Linked DNA regions of Mus musculus: region 1 is reported to be linked to region 2. Evidence: microRNA targets listed by miRTarBase, many of them from high-throughput screens and not tested one by one. Region 2 holds a microRNA gene; the other region holds the end of a gene's coding sequence.
The links. The annotated mature microRNA mmu-miR-3088-3p reads UUCAUGAGCAGCUGCAAAGGUGU and lies in region 2 at 2,261-2,283, opposite strand. An mRNA with a match to its seed (bases 2 to 7 or 8) in the 3' UTR can be bound and repressed. Matches are read on the target gene's strand: a 7mer-m8 pairs with bases 2 to 8, a 7mer-A1 pairs with bases 2 to 7 and ends in A, and an 8mer does both.

Region 1 (3,410 bases), not on the chromosome of region 2:
AAAGATCAGCTGCTTGGATCTTTTATCCAACTTAGGAATCCAGTTGTGTTAAGCTCTGCATCTTAAACATTTCCAGTAAAGACATGACCATTATGTGTGGGAGGACAGGCATACTTTAGAAATGCAATGTTTTCTTAACCACCTCAAGAGTTAAAAGAAATGCTCTCTACAGACTCCCGAGTCCCATGGCAAACACTGTTAACAATCACCGTCTTCTGATTTGTACTCAGTACAAGGTTTTTTTTTAACCTAAGCCTTTCCCCCAATAACCTGAATTAAAAAAAAAAAAAAAAACAGAAAACTTACAAATTGTGATATTTATTTGTTGTTAGTGCTACGAATCAGATTCAGGGTATCACACATGCTAGGCAAGGGCTGTAGCACTGAGTCACCCCACAGCCTGGTCTGCATTTGTAACATGGAGTCATTGCCATGATTTTTATTGGTAATTGTATTTTTATTTATTTATTTTGAATACAGATCTTTCTGCAAGAGTAGATGCAGTTAAGGAAGAAAATCTGAAGCTAAAGTCGGAAAATCAAGTTCTCGGACAATATATAGAAAACCTCATGTCTGCTTCTAGTGTTTTTCAAACAACTGATACAAAAAGCAAAAGGAAGTAAAGGGCTCACCTCCCTCTCTTCTATGGATTGCTGCTTTTTTTCTTCCCCCTTAAGGCTTGGATATGATCCAAAAGTTAGAGTATCTTTGTTCTTCCCTGAGTATTTATAAAGAGAATGTCACATCTAGGTAACACTAATGCTGAACAGGAGCATCTCTGAGTTAACGCTATATGTATACGTTAGTCTATGAAAATGTGCACATGTAGAGACTTTATATTAGAATTACAGATATTTATGAAACTTGAAGATGAATGTTTTGCCAATTTGCTTATATATATATAGGTTTAGCACTGTCTTTTATCATAAGCCTAACTAGTAAAATATACAAAAAAATAACCATGTTGTGAAAAGTGACCAAAACCATGTACTGAATGCACAGCTTCTGTACCTTGTGCACCGTCTTGTGCCTCTCCCATCTCCCTCCCTGACGGTAACTTCAGCAGTTTCTCCTACAAGAGTAACCTAAACTAGAATTGTTGACACTTAACCAAAATAAGACACTTTCTTATCTAAGGCTTGCCGTTTGTGATATTTAGTAATAAGATAGGATTGCTGGTTTCTCTTTAATCAATCGAAAGTAGATTGAAGCTATAGAAAATGAAGAGTTTTCTTTGAAATGTAAACTGCCACACTGAGAAGCTAAAAACTCCCTATTGCATAAAATAGTTCATTTGGTGTTGAAAAGATAGGAATGCTGGTCATATGTGTGTGAGAAATTAAAAAACAACAAACAAACAAAAAACTTGAGAAAAGATAGGAATAAGAAGGAAAACTGGATTAACAGAAATAACCAGCTCGCAGTGTTTTCCCTCTAAATGTGTATTACCTCTGGCCCACAGCTGCACTTTGGGGACATATATGAAAGTGGACTGAGTCTAATGTAAGTGGATTAAGAGAGACTAGTTAAGAGTTTGGTCTCAAAGTTTATTTGTACCCAGGAAATGAACTTTTGCAAAATTAATTGAGAGTATATTAATATCAGAATCATGAATATAAGAGTTTTGTATATGTGATAATTATTAACCTCGGTATTTTATCTCAGTTGTTTTCCCAGAATTTCTGTAAACTCAACTACTTAGTTTGCAGAATTTTAGTCATTCTTTTAACAAATTTTAAAAATTTAGTTTGTAGCTTCCATTTGATAAGGAGCTGATATCAGAAATAATAGTGAAGTCTTATAATAGGAAAGATCCACTAATGCAGCTGGTGGCTCTTAGGCTGGGCTGCTTTGACTTGTGGAATTATCTAATGTATTAATGTAAGCCTTGATGAGTGACGTTAGCTATATGGATGTGTAATCCTCACATTGCAGACATTTTGCAACCCTTTTGTGACCTTGTTACAGATATTTAAAATTGTGTTCAAGTTCTGCTTTGCTGTTTAATAAAAAGCTGTTTCAGAGGTTTTGTGTGTGTGTGTGTTTTGATACACTTGCTAAGTACATGTGCATTGGGTATCCAGGGTTTGCAGTATCACATTGTAATAGTGTATCTTATTTAAGCACCCAAGACTGCTACAGGGCAGTCTTTAGTAGCACAGTGTTGCAGAAGCTTACCCTTTATTGAAGTTCTAGGGAAGGGGGCTGGCTTAGGGTTAGGCTCCTTCCCCTCACTTGTTCCCAGGCTAGAGGGCTCTGCTGCATAGATTGTTCTGTCATGGCTTCTGCATCATCAGTTACACTATTCATTCTATTTACAGGAAAGAGTTTGTGAGTGCCCAGAATCTAGGTATGAAGAGTTCTGTCTTGAAATGGTCCAGGCCTCTTTACATCCAAAGCCTCGGATTGGCTGAGCAGTGTGATTTCTTCCATGTGGGAGGAAGTGAAGGACTTGTCCTAGCAGTCCTAGCCACAGCTTGATCTCTTGCTACAAAGTCTCTGGAACTATGTTTCCTCACAGAGAAAGCATTCCAGCACCCCACCTCCGTGCCCCAATCCAGCTAAGGATTGAGCTTAAAATCCAAGATCTCCCTTGAGGTCCCTCAGTTTATCTGTTCTCACTTTTTCCCTGGTCTAGAGTATTATGGGACAGGATAGCCAAGTAGAAAGCTCTCAGTGTGCGATGTGGAGTAGAGACACTTAGATCTGAGGCAGTGGTGGAATGGAACTTGGACACAAGTCCCTGGATATAGACCCTGACTCTGACCAAGGCTTTCCTTTCTCACTAGCTTTTGTGGCTTTCCCCTTCAAAGTTATTCCATACCCACCCCACCTCCACCCCTAAGGTTGAGAAAACCGTCCAGTTGTTGGCAAGAGCTTGGTGCCCCTTATTTTAAGTCAAGCTCAAGGGTTTTGTTTTGTTTTGTTTTGGCTAGTATAGCGTTCTCAAACAAAAAAACTGAAGCCTTTTACCTAGTTTACATCTCTTCCATCTGTTTGCTATATGCACTGAGGTTAGAGGACAGCCTACAAGAGTCTGTCCTATTTCCCACCATGTGAGTTCTGGGGACCAAGCTCATGTAGTTGGACTGTACCCTAGCTTGAGCCATCTTGCTTTGAAACCTTTTATCTTTGTACTCTCAGTCTGTGTGTCAGGGACAGTCAAACTTTCTTCTAGCCCTGACTCAAGCTTTTTTTCTCTAGGACTTGACTCTGTAACAGAGGCAACTACCTTAGGGCCCACTGAAATGCAGGTGGGAGAGCTGGCCCTGGGGTCTGCAGAGCTGGAGAGCTAGCCCTGCCCCTCACCAGTTGCAACACTTTGGTAGAGTGGGCTCTGCGCCTCACCTGGGCAGCATAATAAAGCTGTTCCTGCTGGAGTGGTTGTGGGTGAGCTGACCCCCAGGGGC
Region 2 (3,410 bases):
CAGCTTCTTCGCCGTTTCGATCTCCGAGATGCCCTCCGGCTGTCTCAGCCTGTTCTGTATTTCAGGCTCAGGGGGCCAGTCGAAGGTGGTGTGATAGATCTCTGCACCGGGAGAGGCACGGGGTTAGAGAAGCACCCATGGCTGCTGCAGGCTCTGCTGCACTGCCTGCCTGGTGCTGCCCAGGGATGTGGCTGACCATTCCCAGTCAGCAAGTGTCTCACTAACAACGACGACGCATGGATCACATCAGTTGTTACTCATAGCAACAACAAATAATGATGAGGTTGGGGACAGATGTAGCTTAGTTGATAAAGTGTTTGCTTCAAATCCACAAAGCCCTGGGTTCAATTCCCAGCATGGCAAAAACCAGGCGTGATGGAGTCATGGCAACTCTCTCAGACCTAAGGCCAGTATACCATTCCCCCTCCAGAACATTCCGAAGCTGGGGTCCCTCAAGTGCCTCCCTCTTCTTCGGCCTTCTATAATGGAGGCAAGAGGATCAGGAGTTCAAAGTCCTCCTCACCTACATAGCAAGCACAAGGCCAATCTAGACTCCATGACTCAGAGACTCCAGATCACCTCAAGAAAAAACACAGTGGTTCCTCTCAGCCTGGAACTGAGGGCAACCATGGATCTCTGAGTTCTCGCTTTGTGCTAGGCCCTGGATGGGCCCTGCAGACTCAATTCATCCTCACAGAATTTGAGCTTTCACCCCAAGTCCAGAGAAAACCAAGCCCAAGAAAGGCACCTTCCCCTTGTCCCCCAGCCCTGTCGATGTGGCTACTTAAGATCCCATTCACAGCACTCGTAGTTCTTTAGGCAACTCATACACCGTACTCCTCCACACACAGAGCAAGCAACGTGGGGTGCACGGCTTCCCAGGAAGAGGGACACCAGCCCCGCTGAGCAATGTCCCCCGTGCATGAACCTGAGCCCCAAGACCAGCTCTGCAGAGTCTAGCTTCTGGACATAGTCAATACCCAGAGTCCCATTTCCTAAGGACAAGGCTGCCTTCACCCAAGATGACCTCTTCCCCGACTTCTGGGATTTCTGTTTCTGGTGGCTTCTGAGTCTGAGACAACCCCCTGGGTGCCTAGAGTAGACAGTGGGACAGGGGCATTCTCTCCCAGTCTTTGAATCCCTCGGGTGGGGTCGTACCTCCGGTGACAGGGTCGATCCGCTTGCCCACATTTCTCTCGATCAGGACAGTGTCTGGAGCATTAAGCACAACTGGGCAGAGAAGAAAGGAACAAACCAGGTGTGCTGGGATCAGGTGCCACATGCCTGAGTCCTCTGCCATGTGATCACATTCAACCCCACCCCCCCCCATGTTACCCATCTCCCAGATGGCACTAAACCATTCTGAGACCAGTCCATGGTGGGATATGTCCCTGGCCACCAATTTTCACTGTGTAAAATCATAGAGTAGAGGTCTCTGTGATTCAGACCCTGCCACCCTTCCTTCCCTTCGTTTCCTAAAGAGACCCACAGCAGGGACATTCCTTACACGAGGAACCCTGCTTTTCTTACTGACTAGTCCTCAGTAGATTTAGCCTGTCAATGAGGCTGGACTTCACCTAATGTCTTTTCTTGCTGGGTTCCAGGCCCTTGAGACCGTCCTGTGAGCAGTGATTGGGCCCAGGGTAGAGGATGGGCAGTGCCAGCACTAAAGAGCAGTGCATGCTCAGGGCAGCAGGGTCCAGGGGTTTACTCACTGACGTGCTTGGGCGCCAGCCCCAGGGTCTGGATCATCAGAGCCTGCTCCCGCCTCTCAGGGATGCCGTCCAGGATCCAGCCCTAGAGAAACAGTACGGAGAGGCTCTTCACTGTAGGTTTTTACCTTCACTTATTTTGTGCACACATATGTGAGTGGGTGAGTAGTATGTATGCATGTGTGAATGTGTGAGTGTGTGCATGTGAATGTGTGCTGTGTGAGTGTGTACATGTGTGTACTGTGAGTGTGTGCATGTGAATGTGTGCTGTGTGAGTGTGTACATGTGAGTGTGTGCTGTGGGAGTGTGTGCATGTGAGTGTGTGCTGTGGGAGTGCCACAGCACACATGCAGAGGTCAGAGACAATTTTCAAAAGTTAGTCCTTGGATTCTACCCAATGTGGGTCCTGGGGATTGAACTCAGGCCACTGAGATTGACAGCAAGCACCTTTACCCTCTGAGTAGCCCCTGCCTACTTTACATTGTGTTTTAGAAGGTCTAACAAGTGCTGGAATCTTTGAAGCCAAAGAAGTGTTCTTGACAGCAGCAACACCTTTGCAGCTGCTCATGAACCTTCGGAGCCAGAGCTCATGAACAACTGCATAGCAGGCACTGAGGTCCTGGCTTCCCGCAGCCACCGCAGCTACTATCAGCATGTGTCCCTGCCAGCATGGGCCTTCGCCGCCTCTGCTTTTGAAGGTTTATACCACATCCCTAAGTGACTGAGCCATGCTGCCAGCTTTGCCCACAGCTTCACGAATCTGTAAACATTTTTCACCATCTGCGATGGCAACCATCGGTTGCCAATTTGCTTACATCTGGAATGAACTAAATTTTAAAGGAAAATGGAGGGCACATGAGTGAGGGATTTTTGCTAAATCTGAAGTTGAAAGAGCTGCTCCTAATACACAACTCAGAGGTAGGAAGACAGACACGCCTTTAACCTGGACTGAGACACGCCTTTAACCTGGGCTACCTTTTGGCTGGAAGCCTATATAAGGACATGAAAGAATGAAATTTCTCTCTCTCTCTCTCTCTCTCCCCCTCCCCCCTCCCCCTCCCCTCCCCTCTCTCTGCCTGTTTAATTCTCAATCTTTCTAGCAAGTCCATTCCTTCAGCAGCATTAGAGCCTTGTTCAGGAATCTGACATCTACTGAAGATGCTCTGAGTTATGCAGCTTTGTGGATGAAACAACTACTGAACCCTTTGACTTTTCATTCAGTCAGTCACTGCTGGAATAGCTGAACCAGGGCCTGTAAGTCATCCTAAGAAATCCCATATATAGACATCATATTCATATATATATATACATATACACACATATATATATATACACACATATATATATATTTACATATACACTATATACATATATATTCATTCTATAAGTTTTGTTACTCTAGAGAACCCTGACTACACCATCATAAACGTCACTGCAGTGAACATCTTTGGGTGCACAGCCCTTTCACATGTTGAATTTTTTCTGGGATATAAGATTGCTAAGATAAGGGGTCACTAGGTTCAAAGCCAAGCATGGCAGTGCACACTTACAATCCAGTCCCAGCCCTGGAAGGAGGAGACAAGTGCATGGCTGGGGCTGGCTTGACAGACAGCGAGCGACAACTGTCTCACATAACAAAGCGATGCTGTTCCAGAGGAGCCCCTGAGGTACCCCTTGCCTTTACAGGAAATGCACACA

Region 1: the mRNA of Scoc is a reported target of mmu-miR-3088-3p. Seed matches in the 3' UTR shown: 7mer-A1 at 1,608-1,614.

Annotation. Positions count from the first base shown.
Region 1 is chr8:83,433,111-83,436,520 of GRCm38, reverse strand. It overlaps Scoc (short coiled-coil protein), which reads left to right. Exons shown (of 4, transcript NM_019708.4): 4 at 481-2,029. The coding sequence ends at 623. Among named protein-coding and RNA genes, the nearest start is that of Scoc, 7.8 kb to the left of the region's middle.
Region 2 is chr2:28,732,194-28,735,603 of GRCm38, reverse strand. It overlaps Mir3088 (microRNA 3088), which reads right to left and starts at 2,326; the gene lies at 2,253-2,326. It overlaps Ak8 (adenylate kinase 8), which reads right to left. Exons shown (of 13, transcript NM_001033874.2): 6 at 1,716-1,797; 7 at 1,159-1,230; 8 at 1-101.